Lonchura striata: one gene and its partners. The protein of the gene in region 3 purifies or fractionates together with the protein of the main gene of each other region. This does not show direct contact. Links are inferred from orthologs where the notes say so. Each region holds a gene or a part of one and is shown on either strand. Other genes may lie near its edges. The genes, in order: GNL2, DDX24 and KRR1.

Region 1 (7,334 bases), on a different chromosome or scaffold from region 3:
TCCAGAAGCCATCGTTTCCTCAGACTGAGCAGGGAGAGCACAGCTGCTCACAGGTGTGCACACACGTGCACAGGCAGTGATACCCACGTGTGGTTTGATCCGGTCATAGAACAGGGACATGGGCAGCTTCTTCTGCTTCATGATCACCCTGTAAGGATCCTTCATCACAGTCTCCATGTCCTCCTGGAATTTCTGTAGGGATGATTGCTTGATCACACGAGTATTTCCTGAGTGTAAAGAACAAACACTGCACCTGGCTGTTCCTGATCTCATCTGCTCCAACTGGGGACATAATAAAACATCAACTTTCCATCTAGGAACAAAAAGACCACTGAAAACTCAAAGGGTTTTACTTGAAACCAAGCCCAAATAGGCAGCCAATCCCTTTCTTTCCCACCATTTATAGGAAATCTAATTTAAAAGTATCTCTAGGACATTTAACAGCCATATATATGGGCAAACCATGGGGAACAAAAAAGGAGCCAAAATAATCATCCTTAGGGGAGTGTGTGGAAAGCAAAGCCCCAAAGCACAGGTACAAGCAAGGGGGAAAATGATGCTTAGGATTTGAGCTTTTCTATTTTCCATTTATTTGTAATCCTCTAGCTCTTTAGTGCATAACTCCAAACTCCACGTGCAGTGTGAGCTGCTGCTTTCCCATTTGGGGCAGACACAACAATTCCTCTCCAGGCCTGGCAATCAAGGACACCTCACTGCCTCAGGCCCTGAGAGATGGAAACAAAAGTGAGTTGGGGGGAGCAAACTTGGGGTAAATGACCTCATTAGCTGAAGCTGTAATTGGAAGATGCACCCCCAATATGCAAATAGACCAAACATATTAGAAGTATGAAAACCTGTGATCCATTGTCCATTTTTGGGTGTAGCCCCTTGGGCGGGCTTTGTCTGCCTGAAATGTACCTGAAACCCCTTCAATGAATAGAACTGCTTTTTATTGCCTTAATTTTGTCTGTCCCCTATTTTTAGGTAGCCCCACAAAGCATCAACAGCAGCAGGGGTCCCTCACCTTCCCTCACAACTCTCAAACCACCATTCTGAAACAAACACCTTGCAACACCCTAAGTTCAACAGCTTTGAAGCTTGCTGAGCCTGGAAATTGGCCAAAACTCACCAAACCATTTGATATTTGGTTCCACTCTGGCCACGGTGCCTGGCGCCACGGTTGACTGAAACTGCAGAGGTTTGATCACTTTGCCACGCTTGTTCCTAGGGGACAAATGAAGACACATCAGTGCACAAAGGGCAGCAGTGACCCCTCCAGCCCCTGTGTGCACCGGGCCAGAAGCAGAGGCACAGAGTGCAGAGGGACCCTTCCCCTGCAGTGGTGCTGCCCTGCATTCCATGGGGGTGAATTATCCCAACCTGTGGTCTCCTCCAGCCTGGCCAGACCCTCCCTGCAGCTGCTGGTGCAGCCCAGGAAGGGCTTTTGGGGCTGCAAAAGTTGCTGTTTTCTGGAAAATCTCACTGTGTTCCATCACAAAGCCTTTTAACCAGTTCTGCTCACCCGCTGACACAGGGTGGGACCTGGTTTAATTCAGCAATATCTCAAAATCCCTTCCCCCATCTGCTCTGCAAACAGTGGGAAATTTGGCAAAAAAACCAAACGTGCTGATGCAAAACAGGGCTCTCAGAACTGCCACGGCACAGACTCGTGGGTGCTGCTCCCTGCCATGGATCTCTCAGTGTGGCACAGAGGGGAACAGGGGGATCCTCTGTGGAGGTGCTGAGGGGAGCTGAGGCTCTCCAGGTGTTTTGGGGGCAGCTTTTGAGCTGTGCTGCTCTGGGAAATTCGGGAATTCTGTGTGCTTTGGGTCTCTCCACACAGATGTATCAAGTATTTTCCGGCTGTATCGCTGGGACCAGAGATATCCCTGGGCTGGGGAGAGCTCGGGATCAGGCTGGGGATCAGGCTCGGGATCGGGCTTGGGACCAGACTCAGAATCGGGCTCGGGCTCAGGATCGGGCTTGGGACCAGGCTCGGGACCAGGCTCCGGATCAGAATTGGGATCAGGCTCAGGATTGGGACCAGGCTCAGGATCAGGCTCGGGATCAGGCTCAGGATTGGGACCAGGCTCAGGATCAGACTTGGGACCAGGCTCAGGCTCGGGACCAGGCTCAGGATCAGGCTCGGGAGCAGGCTCAGGATCAGGCTCAGGATCAGGCTCAGGATTGGGACCAGGCTCAGGATCAGACTTGGGACCAGGCTCAGGCTCGGGACCAGGCTCAGGATCAGGCTCGGGAGCAGGCTCAGGATCAGGCTCAAGATCAGGCTCGGGAGCAGGCTCGGGATCAGGCTCGGGATTGGGACCAGGCTCAGGATCAGGCTTGGGACCAGGCTCAGGATCAGGCTCAAGATCAGGCTCGGGAGCAGGCTGGCGATCAGGCTCGGGCTCGGGATCAGATTTGGGACTGGGCTCAGGATCGGGCTCAGGACCAGACTCAGGATCAGGCTCGGGACTGGGCTCGGGACCGGGCCCGGGATCAGAGTCAGGCTTGGGCTCAGGACTGGGCTGGGATCAGATTCGGGACCGGGCTCGGGACCGGGCTCAGGATTCAGGACCAGACTCAGGATCAGGCTCGGGATCGGGCTCGGGACCGGGCTCCCAGCTCACGGGGTTACAGAACACACGCCGTGCCATCACCCAGGCGTTTTGTCGCCTGTCCCTGGCGCGGCCGTGCCCGGCCGGTACCGGGACCGCGGCCGGGCCACGTTCAGCTGCCCACCTGCGCTCCTTCTGCCGGTACATGTTGAGGCGCCGGATGGTCGCTCGGTCCCGCATGTTGTTCCCTCCCTCGCCGCCGACGCGATCTGCGGAGACAAGAGAACATCAGCCTCGGCTCGGCTCGGCCCGGCCCGGTTCGGCCCGCCCGGCCCGCGGTCCCGCCCGTACCGGGGTTGGTGCTGGCGCGGGAGGGGTTGATGGAGCAGCGGCCCTTGTAGCGTGGCTTCACCATGGTGCCGGTGTGGGTGCCGGTGCTGTAGGGGTCTTGGTGTGGGTGCCGGTATCGGTGCTATAGGGGTGCCGATGCCGGTGTCGATGCTGGTGTCGGTACTGTGAGGGTCTCGGTGCCGGTGCTGTGGGGGTCTCGGTGCCGGTGCTGTGGGGGTGCCGGTCTCGGTGCCGGTGCTGTGGGGGTCTCGGTGCCGGTGCTGTGGGGGTCTCGGTGCCGGTGCCGTGAGGGTGCCGGTCTCGGTGCCGGTGCTGTGGGGGTCTCGGTGCCGGTGCCGTGAGGGTGCCGCTCTCGGTGCCGGTGCTGTGGGGGTCTCGGTGCCGGTGCCGTGAGGGTGCCGCTCTCGGTGCCGGTGCTGTGGGGGTCTCGGTGCCGGTGCCGTGAGGGTGCCGGTCTCGGTGCCGGTGCCGGGACAGGCCCGGAGCGCTCGGGCCGGGCCGCGGACACGCGCGCGGCGCTTCCGGCGCGCGCAGCGTCTGACGCACTTCCGGCGCAGGCGGCGCTTCCGGGCCCGGTTGCCACGGCAACAGCGCGCGGGCCCGGCCGGGTCCCTTTGTGTCCCTTTGTGTCCCTTTGTGTCCCTTTGTGTCCCCCCGTGTCCCTCTCCCGTGTCCCTCTCCCGTGTCCCTGCGCGCCGTGGCGCTGCCCGTCTCCGGAGTGCCGCTGCCGGGTCCGGCCCCGGCCCGCGGGCTGTTGGAAGGCCCGGCGGGGCCGCTGGCACGGGAGCCCCCATGGTTTGGAAGCGGTGTTTGTTCGCTGGCACGTTAATGGGAGTCGTTCCGGAGAGCTCCCTGCCTCTGCTGATGGACTGGGGCGGCTGCTGGGACACTGGGGCTGCTGATGTGACACTCTGGTGGCTGGTGTGACACTGGGGTGGCTGGTGGGACACTGGGACTGCTGATGGGACACTGGGATGGTTGGTGTGACACTGGGACTGCTGGTGGTACACTGGGGTGGCTGCTGGGACATTGGGTCTGCTGGTGGTACACTGGGGTGGCTGCTGGGACATTGGGTCTGCTGGTGGTACACTGGGGTGGCTGGTTTGACACTGGGGTGGCTGCTGGGACAATGAAGTGGCTGGTGGGACACTGGGATGACTGCTGGTGGGACACTGGGGTGGCTGGTTTGACACTGGGACTGCTGGTGGGATATTTGAACAGCTGGTGGGACACTGGGGCTGCCAGAATAACACTGAGGCAGCCAGAGGGGCAGTGGGGCTGCTGGTGGGACACTTGAACAGCTGGAGGGACACTTGAACAGCTGGAGGGACTCTTGGGCAGCTGATGGGACACTGGGGTGGCTGGTGGGACACTTGAGCAGCTGGAAGGACTCTGGGACTGCTGGTGTGACACTGAGGCAGCCAGAGGGGCACTGCTACAGCAGAGACTCAAGCACAAGGCAGTGCTGGTGGGTGTTTACAGGCACACGGGGCTGTTCTTTCTGGGTTACTGGCAAAGAATTTTAAAAATTAGCAATAACAGCACTGCGTGTTTTCCTGTGCGGGCAAAGCACTGCGTGGATGGTGCATTAACAAATCAAATCTGTGCAGCTCTGTGTCCAAGGCGTAAGCCCTCGTTCTGCTCCTGCCAGATTGTAACAGCAATTTGCAAGCTCCTCACCTAGGGGAAATGAACGAAGCTGGGCTGAAACAGTGTTAATTGATAGCAGAGCTTGGGCTGGGGCCAAGCTCAGCACCTTGGGGAATACTTGCCCAAAACACAGCTCTTATTAGCAGCAGAGCATTCCCAGCCAGTGCAATGTCCTTCTGGTGCTGCTAATGCTCCTTTAAACCCAGAACAATAACAGAGCTGCTGGGATTTTGTTCTCCTAATGATTTTCAGCGTTTTGCTGTGAGGTGTAGAGTCCCTGCTGTACAAGGGAGCCATGATGAGTCAGGCCTTGGGACATGTTTTGTAAGACTGAGTCTGGAGCTGGAGGCTGTTTGGCTTAAGCCTACACATTCTGGTTTTTCTCTTAATAGAATTATCTGTGCCTTGGGCATTGAAAAAGTACACATTGATGTGGGCATAAAAAAATCAATTCCAAATTGTAGATAATTGTTTAAGCTATCAGACTCGAGGCTCATGCAGAAGAGTTTTCCCAGGACAAGTGTGTTTTCTATTAGAGTTGATATCAATCTGTCAGAAAAGCCTTTTGATTTTCAAAATTTTAGACTAAATAGTTGAGTAATAGTTTTGCTCTGCTCTCCCCAGCTCTTTCTTCCTTTCTCTTAAGAAAACTCCCTCTTCATTGTTAGCAAGAGATCTTGGGGAGCAGCCAGAAAGTCGCTGTCTCTTTTCTGTGAGAGAACAGACCCAGCCAGCTTTGGGCAGGAGGTTGTGGCAGGGAGAGCTTGTCTTGGGGATGCCCCAGAGTTGGGTGCTGAATTCCCAGGTTGGAGGCATTGGTGGGAGGGCTCAGACCCTTTACCAGCTCATAGGGGTGGGCTATGAACCTGGATTTTCTGTCATGAGATCCTACTGATAACGTGTGGGACGTGTGGCACCTTCCTGCAGCACTTCCCTCACTCTCACACATCCCCTGACCCGAATTCCAGCAGTTGGTGTTGAACTTGCAGCATCCCCGAGGCTGCAGCTGCTTGTGGATCTGATAACGTGCGAGTCAGATATTTTGCTCCACTAAACTGATGTTTTGTTGCTCTGTGACTCACAGTTTGCTATTGATGCATCCCCCCATTTCAAACTTTAGTTTTTCTCATTCTTTCCTGGCGACATTCATGTCCTGGCCACAGCCAGCCAGGACAACAGGGTCACAGATCGTTGTCCATCGCCTCTGCTACGTTGCCTCAGCTTCTCAGAACCACTGCCTGAAATAAAATCATTTTGAGTTTTATGTGGCCTCATCTTTGTCAAATCCCAGTGAATGTGGTTACGTGATGCCATTGGAATGACTCATTCCCATAATTACATATGTTCTGAGGGGTTATTCCCATTGTATTATTAAAAACTAGTGATGTTGGATTTTTGGCAGGGATGTCTTCCTCGTATGATCTACAGATTTTGTCAATTAAATGAAGGAAAAGTAGATTTCCAAGAGTTCAGAACAAGATCGGACTTGCACTCAGAGCCCTTTTTCAGTGTGGTATTGAGCTCCTCTGTTTCATTTAACAGGATAAAGCAGCCTCAGCCATCTTCCCCTATTGCAGCAGTTCCCTGCAGAGCACAAGGATGCAAGTGGATTTTGTAGCTCATCTCCAAAATCACAGCAGAAGATCTTGTAGGCAGTTTATCACCACAGCAGCTTTCCCAGCTCAGTTCCCCAGGCATGGCTTCCCAGGGATACAGCTGGCAGGAGCAGGATGGAGGTCTCCTTGGCAAAAGGCTCCAGGTGTGACAGTGTTGCCCTGATTCTTAAGATTTTCTAAAGCCTTCTAAGTTTACATTCTGTTAGAAAACTTTCCCACACATTTTCTATAAACAACCTATTGTTTTGCATTCCTTCGTGGGGGTGGAAGAAGTTGATGTATTAGTAGTTTGTACAATGTCTTTGGAGAGGTGACCCATTCACTCTCCAATCCACTGTCACCTTTGGAAAAGTATAAAAGTTGAAGTCAGAAAATAAACCTTCTTTTTTACCTTGCCATCGCAGTGGCTCGTGTTGTGCTTTCTCGTGTCCTATAGCAACATGACAGGAAACACAAAGTAATCCTGGGTTGTTGCCTTGAATATGGAGTTCCCAAAATGGTGACTGAAAGCAACAGGGCAGCTCGGGAGGGAGGAGGAAACTGAAGTCAAGAAAAAAGGCAGAAAGGTGTAAGAGGGCTTTGAGAGGCCAGGCTGAGCCTGGGGGGCTCAGAGCTGGGCTGCAGAGCCCTGGGCTTCACCCTGGGCACATCTGCCAGCCCCACGGGTCTGGGGTGCACCGGTGCTCCCGTGGGTAAAGCAGCTCAAGAGAACATTTTCCTGTGGTTTGATTTGAACAGCCATGGAAAGTAACTCCTGCCCTTACGGGCTCCTCTGTGGCCCTGTCAGTGCCTCCAAACCAGCGCTTTACCTCAGGCTGGAAATGACAATACACCACCTTCCTAGCTGCCTCTCTTTTCCTGTTCTTCAAAAATCCTGGAAATTTCCAGCAAGCAGCTCCATCCTAACGATGGTTTGGCATTCAGTTGGGTGTGATGTATTACCATGTACAGAAATGCCATCAGGGTGATTTATTGGTGGTGACTGATTAAATGAAATTGGTATTTCTGTACTTTTAATGTAGGTTTTGTAAATGTGATGCCTGTCATTTCTATCTGTGAAGTATATTGACTTCATAAAATATGTAAATATATATTTGAATTATTCCTGTTAGTGTTCTCAGACAATGTAATCCAAACAATAGTTTTGGAGATAACCTCT
Region 2 (8,189 bases), on a different chromosome or scaffold from region 3:
TTACTAGTTCTACACAGAAATGAACAGCAAAGGTTAGACCCACTGCAAAAACAAGCCTTGACATTCCCTTTGTCTGATCTGCATATAGATCTACTGCCTTATCAAAATCCTCCCAGTCTTCCCAATGTTGCTACTAGAAAATATTATTAGTTTTTTAACTTTGCATATTCCTCCCTCAGGCCCAATGCTAAGAGGTGCTGCAGGATGCAGAAAAAAGAACTAGAGAGTTTCAACCTCTCCCAACTGCAGCACTTCCTGAAGGCAGCTGTCCACATCTCCTAAGTTTCTACAGAAATACAATGATCCCATGGACTCTCTGGAGAGAATCTGGATTTCACTCATGAAAGATAAATGAGCAAAACACATTCCTACTACCTCAGGGTTATACAAAATTATAAAGCAACAACACAGCCTGCCAACAACCCTGCTTTCCATTCTGCAGCTAGAGAGGAATTTGCTTACCAGTGCTGCCAAAATGGCAGTTTTTTGCAGTACAAAAACATCATTTAAATTTTCAGTTCCATTTTTAAAAACACTCCCTGCGGGGGCTTTCTAATCTTACTAAAGCTAATAGTATCAACACAGCTTCTAATTAAAATAAAAATGCAAATGACTGCATATCTTAGTTACCTTCTTGCTGTAGAGCAGTAAATGACTTTACATAGAAGCACTGAGATAAAGCAACTGGAACAGATTAAAACAGTGTAAGGGAAGCTTTTTAACCAAGGTAGCTTCTAATTGTGCTTCCTATTTCTAGGTGTTTTGGGGAAAAAAATGTTGCTAAAGACAAAAGTTCAACGCTATGAACCACCAACAAAGTTTGAGGGAACATAATTTTCAGAGACTTCATAGCATTAAGTAAACAAGTAGCTATAATAAATTTCATGAAGGCTAGGAATACTTGAAGCATAAGCTGAGCACACGATGGACATGACTCTACCCCTCAAATCATTAATGTAAGAACTCACTTTAAGCACAAGCAGGGAGAAGGGCTGGTGACAACATAAAGGTAAAGCCTGGGGGCAGAGCACAGGGTGGGCCCGTTTTGCTCTGAGTAGGACCTGGGTCATATTCACACTTAACATTGTGCCCAGTGCTTATTACTGCTCCACACCAGCATGAATTATCTCCACGGGAACCTGGGAGCACGTGCTTGGCTGCTGCAGAAACGACCCTGTTTGCTTCATTAATTCTGCCTTTTGCAGAATATCACCTTACCATTCCCAAAACAGGAAACAGTCTGAGAAACAGGAAAAGAGACTTCTGCCAAAAGCACAGAAACTCGTTGAGACTGCAAAGCTTTGCATGCTTTGTAAAGATGGGAGTCCCCATTGTTTACAAACATGTAAGTTTAACCATGTAAGTTTATGAACCTCTAAATCCCAATGTTTACAAACATGTAAGTTTCAAAGATTGAAAACTCTAATACACTGTAAATGCAAAAGACAAAAGCTCTTCTCTTACAATACTGAAAAACTGCTTCTTCTGCATATAAAAACTTGCAACCATAGGCTACGTTTTAAGAAAAGAAACTGGATGCTCCCAGCATACACCATCAGCTAAACAGACTTGTACCTGTTTCTGCAGCACCAAGAACATCCATATTATCCCGAATGGCAGAAGGCAAGGCTAAGGCTTGAATGGGAGTTGGAGCACTAAACCCCAGGTAGCTCAACGCCTGCAACACTGGCTCAGGTACAAACAGGTCTTTCCATGCAGACACATCAGCTTTTTGATCAGTTGAGGCAGATAAAACTTCTGTTGTCCAGTTTTTGACTTTTTTAGAAGTAGCTACTGATGGAAGGGCTTCCTGTGCTTGAAAAGCCTTGTTTTTAGGTACCTTCTTTTTCTTCTTCTTTGTAGTGTCTCTTCTGCTTGACATGCTCTCAGTCACTGGTCCATGGTCTTCACAATTAGCTTCTTCAATTATTTCATTACACCTTGCCTCTTTAGCAACCAGCACATCCATTTCTGCTGCATTATGAGTATTGTCTTTATCTGTTTGGCTTCTCAAATCTTTGTTTTTCTTTTTCCTTTTTGGAGGGACAACAGGTTCTTCCACCTCCTCATTGCCTTCTTCAGAAGCAGTCTCAGCCTTTCTCTTCTCTTTTACTTTCCCCACTTTGGAAGAACTTACTAACTTATAGTCTGTGAGTTCCTCCAAGCACACTATATCTCGAAACTCCTCCTCAGCAAATAGATTGGGGTCAATCTGCACGGTTTTCCATTCTCCTACTACTTCAATGCCTTTTCGCTTCAATTTAAAGGAAGACCTAAATCTTCCTCCTTTTCTGGCCTTCATTTTTTATCTAAAAAAAGAAACCAAGGGAGGCAAAAAAAAAAAAAGAGTCTTCAAATACAAGGACTGGAGACCACCTTGATATTCAAGCAAACGGGAGCCCAGGGAATAATTGTTTCTTCTTAAAATATATTTCTCAAGATATAATATAGTATTCTTATTTCTTCTTTAATTATATCAGTATCATTACTTATATATTACTTCGAGCTAGCATATATATAGCTAAAGTATAACAAACTATAATATAGCTAAATAACTAAATATAACTGTAACAACTATTAATATATAATACTATAACAGCTATAATATATACTATAACAACTATAACAACTAAACAACTATAATACAATAATATAATATAACTAACTAAACAACTATAATACAATAATATAACTAACTAAACATAACTATAACTATAATAATATAACTGTAATATAACTAAATATAACTATAACATAACTAAATACAACAGGCAGGCCAGGCCTCCTGCGTCCCTCCTGGAACACCTCCAGAGATACAAGCAGAGCCGCTGGATAAATCCCCGCAGCAGGCCGCGCAGCGCTCCCGCCCCGGGAACCACCGGAGCCGCGGCGGGCCCAGCACGGCCTCCGCCGCCACACGCGGGAGCTCCGGGCACTTGCTCCTTGCGGCCCGCGCGGCGCTTACCGCGCTCAGGAGCCCCGGGGCGGAGAGGGGCCGAGAGGAGCCGAGAGGGGAGCGGAGAGGGGAGCGGAGCGGGATCCCCGGCCCGGCTGCCGCTACCGCCGCCACCCTCCGCGTGCGCCCCTGGGCGCCGCCATTGCTGCGTGACGTCACTGGCGAGCGACGTCACTGGCGAGCGACGTCACGGGCGCGCGGCGTCAGGCGCGGCGCCGGCCGGGAGCGATCCTGAGGGAGCGGCCGCGGGAATGGCGGCCCGGAGCCGGGTCTGGACCCGCGCCCTCGGCTGCGCCTCAGCGGCACTGCCCCGGCAGTGACCGAGGCTTGTTCTTCGCGCTCGCTGGTGTGCTCTTGTGTTAATGCCTTTTGCGGGTGGAGTTACGTGTTGCAAATAGCTGCAGGGAAGGAGCGAGCGCCACCGAGGTCGCGGCAAGGCTCTTTGTACCTCTTGTGTGATCCATGCGCTTCCCAGCCGTATCGTGCCGTAGAAAGACAGCGAAATAAGTTGTAATGGATGGTTCTTATTTCTTATAAAGGGCTGGCTGATGTTCAGAAGAGCGTCTTGCTGTGAGGCGGGGAGAGAGTTAAAAACCACGAGCTTTGTGGGTGATAGGGACTGCGACAGTATGTTCGAGTACAATTACAGCAACACTTACAATTATTTCTTCTACTTGGTATTTGCAGGTCTTTCCCGGCTTTGCGAGAAGATGGGAAAACAGATGGTTGTTTTCTCTACCTTTTTTTTTTTTTTTTTTTTTTTTTTTTTTCAGTTCCAGGTAGTCATTAATTATGGATGCTCTCAGTTCAGTCAGAGAGAAAAGGAGAGATTTCTGCCAGGCTAAGCCTGGGAAAAAGTCCGAGAGGAATGTAAACTACTTGTTACCTCTTTCTGTTCATGTTGCTTATAGATATGTTCTGCTACCGTGTGCTATTCATAGTGCACCAATGGTGTGAAAAGTTTTCACCTGAGACCAATCATATTTCACCTTAGCGACCTTGGTTATAAAAGAAGAACACTAGTTGTTAATAAGGGTTTTCACTCTTTACCTTCTGATGTTAGAGTCATTTTCATTCCCATCCTGCCTCCACAGCAACAATTAATGACTTACCAATGCACAATATGTGGAATTTATTCCAATTCATATTCCATGAGCAAGGCTAAAGAGCTTTTGATGCTTGGTCCTGATGTTCTGTATAAGATGAGTTTAAATCAGTGAGTCAGAAAGTGAGTTCAGAGAGCAGGAACTCCCCTGTAATTCATTTATGGTATAGTTAATGTAAAATATATCAGTGTAGTTTATTAATTATCTAATTATTAGAGCAGGATTAAGTGTGTTTGTTGGCACTACTCAGTCTTGTTAGAATTTTTCCTAGGCTTGTCTGGACAGAAATATTTACATACCCTTGAGTTTATGTGCTTGTAAATATGTCTTGTGCACATTAAACATGTCTCAAATACTTAGAAATCTCCCCCAAAAATGTGCAAAATACTGTTCTTCCCACATAGAAATACCAGGGCAACGTGCCTTTGGAGATGGAGATAGTGCTGCTGGTTTTTGTGTGTAGAACAGATCCCAGTGAGTAAACAGCTCTTTCTGTGGCAGAGAGGACACGTTGCTGGAGTTGTCCTGGTGAGTGGATTTGTGGCAGAGAGGGGAAGGTCAGGCTGCCAGTCAGGAGGGAGCAGTGTCACTTCTGCCCTCACAGTGAGCATTGCTGCCCTGTGAGCTGAGCCAGGGACTTTGGCACGTGGCAAAAAACCCCACCTCAGCTCTGGGGCACTTACAGAGTTCAGATTCCCCCTTCTTGGTGTGCATGTTTACGTGTTTTACCTGATACCTTTTACAGTACAGCCATCAAACCTGATTTATGTAGTACTGAGCTGGAGGCAGTGATGGCCAACAGGACTGTCTCTCTGATGGGAACTGGGGCTGCATGCTAATGCCAGCCTTAAGGAGAGGTCTCAGCACTCTTCATTAATTCCTTCATTAAAAGTACCCTTCCCTACAGGTTGCTTAGATTCAAAACAAGTGACAAAAAAGCTTGTTTACAATATTTTTCATGTTCTCTCTTCTTATTTACTGCCTATAAGCAAAAGTAAATTTGCAGAAGCAAAAGAAACAGATTACTCTGAAATTTTGGTGTGGTTGACTTGCCACCGATACTGAATAAAAATAATGAAAAAAACTTGGGCAGAAAAGTTCTTAGCTGTTACTCCTAGGTATAATTACGTGTCCTGTTGTAGTTGTGAACTTTGCAGCTTTGTCCTGATGAAAGATTTAATGTGGAAATGATTTGCCAAATTATGTTGAATTATGCTTTCTAATATAACTGTGGACATGTTTTTATGGGAGATAGGAGTATTCTGATTTTTTTTCTAAGAATTCATGTGAGGGTTGCAGCTGATTTTCTTCTTGATCAGTACTGAGCTCTATATTCTAGACTGAGGGACAGAATTATAGGCCCTCCAACTCAATTTGAAAGAAGGGACGTGCCTGAAGCAACAAGCTTCAGAACAGCCTACACAGACGTGGTGACTTTCTCACTGCCACAGTGTGAACTCGTTGTACAAGAGCCATTGGTTGAGTTGCTTTGAAATGGGATAACCAAGGGAACTAAACATTTGCTCAGTATTACAGTAGCAGTAATCTTTCTAAGCCTTTGTAACATTAATCCTTCTGAGCCTTTGTGACCTGAAAGAGGCCCAGCTTTGGTATGTTGTGACAAGGCTTTGTCAATGAGTTCAGCTTCGTGTCCTAACAGAGTCAGCTGATAAACTCCTGGTAAATACAATTCCATTATTGACAGTACAGAGTGAACTCTTGGTAAAACTACAAATCAGACAAATGAAACAGGTCTGCTTTACACCCCTAGGGCGTCTTTAGATCAACAGTTATTTAAATACAAGGAAATTGTAAATTGAAGATAATAACCCGTGTTAATAAGTTAAGGAATTATGTCATTTGCTTGCATAACTCATGTCAGTGCATGCATATTTTATTACTTTATCAATAGTTTCCAAGGTATTTAAGCCAGTATGCCTGAGAGCCCAAGAGAACTTGAAGGGTTTGATGTCCTCATTACAGAGTTTTACCTGGTAACAGATCCTGTTCTTCCCAGCTGTAAATTTACATTCCTGCAGATCAGTAGCCCAGGGATTGTGGTTTGGTCCCTTCTGTGCAGTATTACATAATAGATACTATATGTTTTTTCAATTAATATTTTGATTTTTTTATAAAATAGTGAAGACTTCTCCTAAGAATGCTTAAGGCAGAGAATGTTTTGACCAGTACCTTTAATTCTTTAATTTTGGGATTAGTGTAACTGAATTCAGCACGAGGAACAGTTAAATGTGCGTGTCAGCAACTGATGTAGGCTTTCACTTAGTAATCAGATTCTTTGGTTTCTTTTTTTTTTTTTTTTTTTTTTTTTTTTTTGTGTGTGTCTTGCAGGAATGTCAGTATGTGCTTAATTACTGATTTGGATAGCTATTTCTGCTGACAAAAGAATGTCACTGTACTGTGATTTATATTAATCCTCACAGTGCACTGTGCACCTGAAGAACATGCAGCTGCTGGCCAGTGGGAGACCTGATGCCTCCTGTGCTTTGCAGACTGTAAAATTTGTTCTTTTTTATTTTTCGTTATGTAGCCAGGTGAGGCTGCTTGTCCTGGTCCTGAAGTGGCAAGGTAAAGCCTTGTTTCTTTGTTGTCACTTTCAGAAGTTCTGGAATACTATTCTAGGACTGACAAAATCTTACGGCATAGCACCATTTGTCAAACCTCATTTGAAAATACATACCCCTTTGCCTATGCTGCCTTTTTTTACTTTCTCTCTGTTCTTCCAGCTTCACAAATGCATTTCTTACTCACTTGCATGAAGCCTTTTGTCAGACAGCATGCTGCTCCTTCAGCGAATGTGTTCATAAAGCCAGGAGAATAAGATACTCTGTAAGTATGAAATTTAAGAGTACTGGCATGTTTAACTCTAGTTTTAGTACCAAAGACTTTTTCAAGTACAGATTTATCAAGGTGAAGATTTTTCTGTGTGATTGAAGAATAGCAAAGACAACTCCATTTAATGAGAGAAACATTTGGAATGGTTGCAAATGCAGTCAGATGCACTAGATACTTCAGAATGTATCTTCAAGGGAATAATGCTGAAGGAAGTTATGAAGATAACAGGAAATTAAATACAAGTCCATATTGATTAACTGTTGCCCTGTTCTTTTAAAAGTTTTAAAGTTATTTTAGAAGTTTTCTATGCCTTCTGATGTTTACATATTTCTACTAGAGTTCTCACACACTGTTCATTTAAATAATAATTGTTTTTCATTCTCCTTTGTGAGATGAGAGAATTAATAGACTGTTAGTTTGACCAGTGTCGTTAGAGAAGTAACAATTTCTTCCTCCAATCCACTATCACTTTTAAAATTCTATATATTACAAAGTCAAAAATAAAACTTCTTCTTTTCCTTCTTTTACATCCTAATTGAGTGTGTGAGTTATTTCGTGTTGTAGTACAACAGTTAACCAAGGGGAAATGGGAAATCAAGGCATGTCCCTTAAGAGGGTAACTGGTTTTCTGGGCAGAAAAATAAAGCACATGTAATCTGTCTGGACAACCTCAAAATATTTTTCATAGGGGAAAAAGGAATAGCATGGAACTTCAAGGGGAAAGAAGCTGGCTAAAGAGGAAGGGAAATGCACGTTTCTTTTGGGGGAGCACATTGGTGTGTATATTGATAGATTAACCTATCAGCTGTATGGAGTTTGCTTGAGTTTCTTGAAGTCTTGTGGACTACTCTTATTTAATGAATAACTGTGATACAATATTAAATTTGCTGATGACACAGTTATTAATACAAAGGAGAATTATGATACAAGGCCGATTGAAAAGACCTTGAGGACCAGTATAATTGGATGAATTGTATTATCCAAAGTACAGCACTATTCAGCTAAAGCTAATACTGAGAATGTATATCATTAAGATGGGACTTAATTAATTTTAGGTCACTGTGGATGACAGTAGTAATTGACCATAAGATTAACTGTGAGCTGCCAATGTTGTATATTTGGTAAACTAACTCCTGTACAGATATTCATTCTTTGCAAGAGGCATTATTTCCTAGATATTTTTTATTTTCAATACTATATTCCGATCACCTTAATTCAGGAGAGGTGAAGTCAAAGTGCAGCAGATGCCATGGGAATTGCTAGGGTGGTCAGGA
Region 3 (7,511 bases):
TCTTTTTACAAAGACCACAATTTGAGGTGTGCTACATTCCTGCATAACCAAATAAAGTTTCAACTGACCTGGCTTTCTGGCTGTGGAGGTGGGAATGGTGTGTACTCCTTCTTAGTATTTTTCTTCTTGGGCTCCTTGCGTTTTTTCAAGTTCTTCCGCTTGAATTTAGGCAAAAATCTTTCCCAACTTTGTGTCCTCAGTTCAGGATCTTTTGCTAATTCCCGTTTGATCATCAAAGTCTTCAGTGGTTTCAGAACATCACAAAGAAGTTATGAAGACAAACAGTATTACAGTAGAGGCCAAGAAATCCAAAACAGAAGTTTACATGACTTTCTTAGAGTGAATATGCTACATTCAAAACTTCCATATCTCACTTCAGTAAGAGCAGAGGGGCTTAATTATGAACAGCAGAACCAGAAAGAGGTCTCAAAACAGGGACAGAATGCACTGGAGAAGGCGCTTCAGTTTAAATGTGCAAGTATCGAGCCAAGAATCAAAGTAGAAAGTTTGTATAAACTCTTCCTTTGATTTTGCAGATGCTGCCATGATGGTGTTATGGCAATGCATTCTAGTACAATGAAGTTTATCAAAGTCACTAGGTTTTATAGAGCAGCACACTACAGAAATCGTCAAAATAGATTACCACACAGAAACATCTAAATTTTTAACATACAACCCTCTGGGAATAAATAGCATTTTCTTGTAAATAAAGATGCACAGTGGACCATGCTAACCTTGATGTTATATATGGGATGTATATTCTTCATTGTGTCCAGAACAACTTTTCTAACCTGTATTAAATACAAAAGAAGAACAGAAAGCTCATCAAGTATTTCATATGCTAATCACTTAAAATATCACCTATAAAATATTGTGCTTCCTCTTCCTGCCTCTGCCTCACCAAAATAGTAAGAATTAAAATTACAGAACCATTATGGTTGGAGAAGCTCTCCAAGATCATTGATTCCAGCCTTTAAAAAGCTAAAGCACAGGGTTTAACCAGAAGGAATTAAAAAATGCCAATACTATTGTCATGCTTCTAATAGACTCCAGGAGGCCCCACAAACATTATTTTCATGTTACCATGGATCTTATGGTGTCATGAGAAACTTGCTTTTGATAAGCATTCTTCTCTCACATAGTTATTAAAATACATACAGATGCTTTTTTTTGCCAAGACAGAAAGATCTTGGAGTCTAAAGAAAACTCAGCAGCTAAGATGCTAATACTATGGACGTTCATGTAAATGTAGCTTACTAACAGACAGCTGAAAAGTCAGTGAGATACCGCTGAGGTTGAGAGATTTTGTGTATCGTCCACCCTCGAGCTTGGCACAGAAATTTGTTTGCTACACAAATGGCTCATCTACCTCAACTTACCTCTTTTAGCCCACTAAAGGGTCCAAGAGCTGAAACAGTGTTGCCTTGCACCATAATATAACAGTTTGTTAACAGTTCCAGGGCCTACACCAAAAAAAAAAAGAAAAGAAATTAGTATTATATTAAGACCTAACACAAATTTGGGTCTCAATATTGTGTGGTTACTACACCTATAGGAAATACCTTCAGAGTAGATCCTTTTGGCCCAAGAAGTCGTGCTCTTCTTTTTATAAAAGTCTCTCTCTTCCTCACCAGAGAGCCTATCTTAATGATGTCACATGCAACATCATCCTGAAGGATACGAACTGCCTAAAGAAATGCAGGCAATGTCATCTGAATTCAAATGTATTAATCAAAAGAGTCAAGAGAATACTTCAGTTTATTCTTCTACCTTTACTTTCAGATATATTTACTTTTAATGTTTTCTTTTACTTGACTCACTTTAAATGCCCACATTTTTAAAACTTAGTATTTTATAAGTACTATGATAGAATTTAAGTATAATATTATAATAGAATTTAAGACAAAATATAAGCATCATGATGGATAAAAACTTTCAGGATTTATTACAGACCTGCTCAAATGGAACGCTTCTTGCCAGAAGTTTTATTAAGTCTCTAGCCCTAATGATTGCATACGGATCAAAAGTCTTCTTAGTGGTAGTGACAGTCATGCTTCCCTCAATTAGATCCAGCGCTGCTTTCACATACTACAATATTTGAAAAGAAACACCAGTTCAATATCACAATTCAGCTTTGGTAGTAAGCAGTTAACTAACTGAATGCAGATCTATTTTCCAAGATTTCTAAAGTGACTTTTAGTTTAAGAAAATTCACACAGAGAGACAAAACCCTGACTTTATATGTGTCATAAGGCCCCAAGCACCACCTCTCTTATCTTCCTGATTTCAAGCACAATAAAGCTGTCAGTACTTGGATGATGAGATATTTGCTACTGCAAATACTTTGCTGACAGCATTTGTAAAGAACTGCAAGTCTGGCTATGCAGCTCTTCACCGATTTTGATGACAAAAAATGACACTGCTAATTTAAGATGCAAGCACAGTAGAAATTTACAAACATGGCATGAGAAAAGCAACTTGCACCGTTTTTATTAGCTTAAGTAAGACCTGTATGTCCCAAAATGTAAAGTGCAGTACCACAATGATTAAGAGTTCATACATGTTCACCCAAGGCTTTCTGGACAAGTGGCCAGCACTCTTTCAAGTATGCTTCTCTATACTTTGGGAACAATGTTGCAAAACTGCTTTCTTCCAGTAGCCCTCTGGGATTATCCTCTCTTGTAAAGGCTGGCTCTTTCCATCCATCTGGCACAGTGAGGAGTTCAGATTCATCAACTGCTATTAAAAAGAAAAAAAAAAGTCACTGCTATAAGAAGATTATTATATAAAAAAGCCATTGTTATAAGAAGATTATATTAACAGTATAGTTAATGTAACTATATTAACTATACTGTTAAGTGCGGTTTGCATATATCTTCTGATCTTAGAAAAATTACTGCCTTAAAGTCTTTATATTGAAGAAAAAAAAAAAAGAAGAAATCCGCAGCTGAGATATGCGCTGTTGATCTGGCATATACAAGACGATTACTCAAGTATATTACACAGGAACAAGGCACAGACTGAGGCGAGGAAGCCGAGTACCTCGACGGCAGGAGCACCGCAGCACGGCACCGCCGCTGCCGGCCCCAAGCACCCACCCGCCTGTACTCTCTGCAGCGCCCCACGGAGGCCCCCGCGGCCCTCCCGGCCAGCCGCCAGTCCCGCATGCCGCCCTCACCTGGCGCCGCTTTCTTCTTGTTCTTGTTCTTGTGCTTGTCTCTGCGCTTGGGGCCCGGGCCGGGCGCGGCCTCCTCCTGGGGCTCGGCCTCCTCCTGGGGCTCGGCCGCCATGTCCGCGCGGCGGAAGGGCGGGGCGGGGCGGCGCGCGGAACTGGCCCCGCGCTGCGCGAGGGGCGGGGCGGAGTGCCCGCCTGCTCCGCTCTCGTACCTGGAGAAAAGCGCTTCCCGGGGACACCTGGCTTTCCAGATTAATTACTTACTGTTCAGTCGATTAATCTGGATAGTAAATAAGTAGTTTAAGGTTTTCTGGGCGATGCTCTGCATCCTCCTCCATGCCTTTTCTTGTACCTGTAACTGAGCGTTTCCTTCAATGAAAGAGCAAGAATGCGCCTCCTTCGCTCTCTTTTGTGGAGGCCATGAAAAGCCAATGGGGTGAAAAACTGGCGGATCTTTAAGAGCAAGAACACTCCGAGACAGGACGGTGGTTTCTTTGGCAGGTGTTCACCGCATCTGTTCATAAAAACCGGCACTCTATGACATTTAATTACCTAAATGATGAGAAAGACATTTCTATCACCTGATCTGTACCTGAGTAAAATATTAATTTAAAAATCAGTTTTGACCCTCCTAAAACCTTTCCTACGGAACTCTTTTTCCTTGCCTGCTCCATCTGCCAGCCCTTTGCGCACCCCCATCTCCCACAACAAACAGGACCTGCCAGGTCCTTGCTGTCTGCAGCTTGACATCGAATTGATGCAGGCTTTTAGCCATTGACGTTAATTTCTGTCAACATCCTTCGAGCAGGGGCGGGAGCGGTTCCCGAAGAGGAAAGAAGCTGAAAGGGGAGCCCTGGAGGCCGTCGGCAGGGGGTGCCGGCGGTGCTCTGGGAGCAGGGTGTCCATCCCCGCTCCCGCTAGATGGCACGGCCGCCGCGCTCAGCGGAGCGCCCGGGCGGGACCGGGAGCGAGGGAGGGAGGCGCTGGGGATGTGCTCCCCCTCTGCCCACGCAGCCCCGCCCCGCCCGGCACCGGGCTTTGGAGGCCGAATGCCATTGACACCGAAAAGCTCCGTAGCCCTGGAGGAGCTCGGGGAGGCAAATTTGCCCCTCTCACCTCTTGGGCACAGAAGCTTTCTGGGGCTGCTTGCCGGGTATTCCCCAGCGCTGCAAAAGCCTTTGAGCACAGGAGGGGGTTCTGCCCGGCTACGGGCACCCGGTGGATGCGAAGGGAGGGGCGGGGATCCTGGGGGGGCGGCGCAGTGAAGCGCACAGTGTGCGTCTCTCCCACCTGAAACCTGGCCACGCGGTGTGAAAGCACAGCAAAGCTGATTTGGAAATAGTTTGAGGGGGGATGCTTAGTTTACTTCTGCTCCTGTTTAGTGCCTGGCGACTCCTGTGGTGCAGCCCGCCAAAAAAATCACGGGAGTGGTCTGTGGAAGGGGCATGCCCTCAGCGCTGGGCAGTGGGAGTAAGCCTCCTGATGGGATGAGAGGAGGGAGTTACAGAGGCTGCTATTCACACTCAACATCCATAGAGTGTTGAGTGTGAATAAAAATTACAGGCTGCAACCTCCAGCCTGCCAACCTCCAGAGTAGTGTCTTGCTGCACAGGTACATCCCACACCTCTGAGTGGCAGCGACAGCCCATTTATGTGCCCTCTCCTCTCCTGCATCCCAGCCCCTTGGCCAGCTGCTGCTCCAGGGGATTTACCGAGCCCCCGAGGCCCTGTGCTGGAGGAGAAGTGAATGGTGTGTGGGGTAAGGGGCAGGGGACTGGGGCCTTGTGAGTTCTTTTCTAACGATGGGCAACCCTCTGTTGTCCAGTGCTGCTCTGAAATGTCTCTTTGCCTGATTAACACAGATACACTGAAAATAACAGAAAATAGAGGCAGTAATGCTAACAAACTTGGAAGATGTGATTTGAGAAGGGTCCTCAGGTCCCCACCTCTGATTCTTTGAAGGAGACAGTAATTTCTCATCTCTCCTCTTACCTCAGTATCTGCAGTCTGGCTGGATACAAGGAAGCCACTTCCCTAAATTCCTAATAGGATCAGGATGTTCCCACAGACCTGCTCTTCTTCTCCAGACAATGCATGTGTATATAATTTTTACTATTCACAGCTCAAATGCAATAACCAGCTACTGCTCATTCAGTGGGGTTAGGAAGCTGATGACAGCTAGCTACAGGGACAATGGGTACTGAGGGGACAGGGACTGACACTGCTGTCCAGGTGACTGGGACGAGGATTCTGCAACCCCTCAGGACCAGGGTCCTCTGCACACTGGTTTGAAGCTGAGCTCCCTCCCAGGCAGGAGGGACAGCGTGAGTGCCTCTGCAGTGGTGGGGCACAGTTACCACATGTGGGGGGAATGCTGTGCTGCTGCATGCTGTAAATCCCTGCCCTCCACCACCCCTTCCCCCAGGGTCTGCATGCCCTCCCAGGAGCAACGTTTTCCAAAACCACCTTTCACTGACAGCACTTATCATGTTCATTGTTCTATCCAGCTCAGTGTGGGTAGAAGATGGAGAGACCTTCCCGAAGAAGGGCATGGAGAGACCTTCTCAGAGGTCTCGAAGACCTTTGTCTGAATAGTACAAATCCTAGTCTAGCAAAACCCAACACCTGCTGGAGCCATTGCTGTACCTGGGAGGAGCTGGCTCAGCTCTGTGTGTGTGTGTCTATGTGCAAATGTTTTTTCCTCTTAAAAAAAAAGTGAAACAACACAGCCTCCCTTACACACATTTATATGATACAATAAATAGGGCAGAGCACTGCTGTTAGAAGGAAGGTGCCTCTTTATTATGCAGCAAATTATTTCCCAGTCAGTAGCTAGGACTCCAGCCACTTGGCACTTTCTTGTGTGCCATTTTCCAATCCAAAAGAGCAACTTGGGATTTTTTGATAATTCAAGCAATCAGATGAGCTCCTGCACATGGCATTAATTTGCTAGAAACATCACACAGATCCCATTCAGCCTTAGCATTCATAAATCCATGTGACACTTTTATCTATTTATCAACTTTTAACAGCAGTTTATGATTGTTAGCAAGCCATTTTCTAGGGATTAATAAGTAGCTTTTGTTGATGGCAGCAAGAAGGGCATTTAACTGCTCTGGGATAGTCATGAATCTGTAGTAAATGCTAAGCATCTGGATAATTTCTATATAATTAAATAATCAATACTGCCTTTTGATTCAAATAACTAGACAATTGTTTTCGAATAACTACAGATTCAAACAAATAGAGAATTGGCTTAGGGTGTTCTTAATTCTTTTGGTTTACAACAGGGCAGGAGACACATGGGTAAGTGAGATTTTCTGCTGGTGTAACAGGATCTTAAATTACCAGGTATTTTGTATAAAACCTGTCAAGTGGTCAAAATAGCATTCAAACTAGCCACCAAAACCAATTCATTGGATTGGATGGAAAATAAATAATCTCATATAATTTCTTTTTCATAATACTTTCATTATTGAAATAAAATTAGGTAACCTGACCCTGGAGGTAGCCTGGAAGAATTAAATAATCAAACAGAAACTCATCCTGCCCAGCCACCCTCAGCAAAGTTCATTTTGTTTAATTCCCTGGCTAACATGACCTCTGTGCCCTCAGGCAGATGAGGTTGTGGTGTCATTTCTCTGTCTCCCTCTCTTTCTTCCTTTATCTCTCTGGGCACTGGTGTGAGTCACTTCTCTGGTTTTGTTTTGTTCTTGTCTTTGCTGTGGAATCCATTGATCTGCAGAGGTGCTCATAGATTATGGTATTGGTGTCCACTGCAAACTGGCCTGGCAGGAACACACTGAGGTGGGGCTGCTGTCTTCTCTGTGGAAAGCTCAGGAAATGCCCCAGCAAGCAGAGTTCATCTTTCCCTTTGAAAGAGAGCAGAGAGGACAGTTCCTGCTGAACCCTAAGAGTAACAAGGATCTGGAAAATTAGAGGACTGTAAACCATAAATGCATCTTAAAGGCCTGACTGGAATAGCAAAGCAAAGATAATTTGTGGCAGAAAGAAGAACCCAGAATAAGAAGAAAGAACCTATGGGTAAAAGAGACCATAGCTGTGTCTGGGAAATTACTTGCTTGCAATAAAATTGCTGTCAGTTTAGGGACAAGAAAAGGATGAGAGCCAAACTGGGAAAGGAATTTAGTGTCATGAAATCAAACCAGCAAGTTTAGATAAGAGGTCTTTGGAGCAGGGAATGTGCCTAATCATGTATTCATACAGTGACTGACAGAATGAGGCTTTTGTCTTGACTTGAGCCTCTGTGAATTATCAGAAAGCAAACACCAGACCAAGGCAAGCTGCAGCAGGACCTCTGAGATAGACACAGGGG

What was found.
Region 1: the proteins of KRR1 (region 3) and GNL2 purify together in Homo sapiens (affinity purification with mass spectrometry; 3 studies listed by BioGRID and IntAct, with this or other methods). This does not show direct contact. The link is inferred for Lonchura striata from reciprocal best matches to the Homo sapiens genes KRR1 and GNL2.
Region 2: the proteins of KRR1 (region 3) and DDX24 purify together in Homo sapiens (affinity purification with mass spectrometry; 3 studies listed by BioGRID and IntAct, with this or other methods). This does not show direct contact. The link is inferred for Lonchura striata from reciprocal best matches to the Homo sapiens genes KRR1 and DDX24.

Annotation. Positions count from the first base shown.
Region 1 is NC_134628.1:4,706,163-4,713,496, forward strand, and holds the start of GNL2 (nucleolar GTP-binding protein 2), read right to left. Parts: upstream 3,452-7,334; 5' UTR 2,974-3,451; coding exon 2,910-2,973; intron 2,828-2,909; coding exon 2,743-2,827; intron 1,225-2,742; coding exon 1,130-1,224; intron 228-1,129; coding exon 88-227; intron 1-87. UniProt on the Homo sapiens protein: GTPase that associates with pre-60S ribosomal subunits in the nucleolus and is required for their nuclear export and maturation.
Region 2 is NC_134608.1:15,321,878-15,330,066, reverse strand, and holds the start of DDX24 (ATP-dependent RNA helicase DDX24), read right to left. Parts: upstream 3,222-8,189; 5' UTR 2,966-3,221; intron 2,310-2,965; 5' UTR 2,303-2,309; coding exon 1,576-2,302; intron 1-1,575. UniProt on the Homo sapiens protein: ATP-dependent RNA helicase that plays a role in various aspects of RNA metabolism including pre-mRNA splicing and is thereby involved in different biological processes such as cell cycle regulation or innate immunity.
Region 3 is NC_134607.1:46,815,192-46,822,702, forward strand, and holds the start of KRR1 (KRR1 small subunit processome component homolog), read right to left. Parts: upstream 3,315-7,511; 5' UTR 3,291-3,314; coding exon 3,179-3,290; intron 2,740-3,178; coding exon 2,561-2,739; intron 2,089-2,560; coding exon 1,954-2,088; intron 1,689-1,953; coding exon 1,563-1,688; intron 1,464-1,562; coding exon 1,380-1,463; intron 792-1,379; coding exon 735-791; intron 240-734; coding exon 69-239; intron 1-68. UniProt on the Homo sapiens protein: Part of the small subunit (SSU) processome, first precursor of the small eukaryotic ribosomal subunit.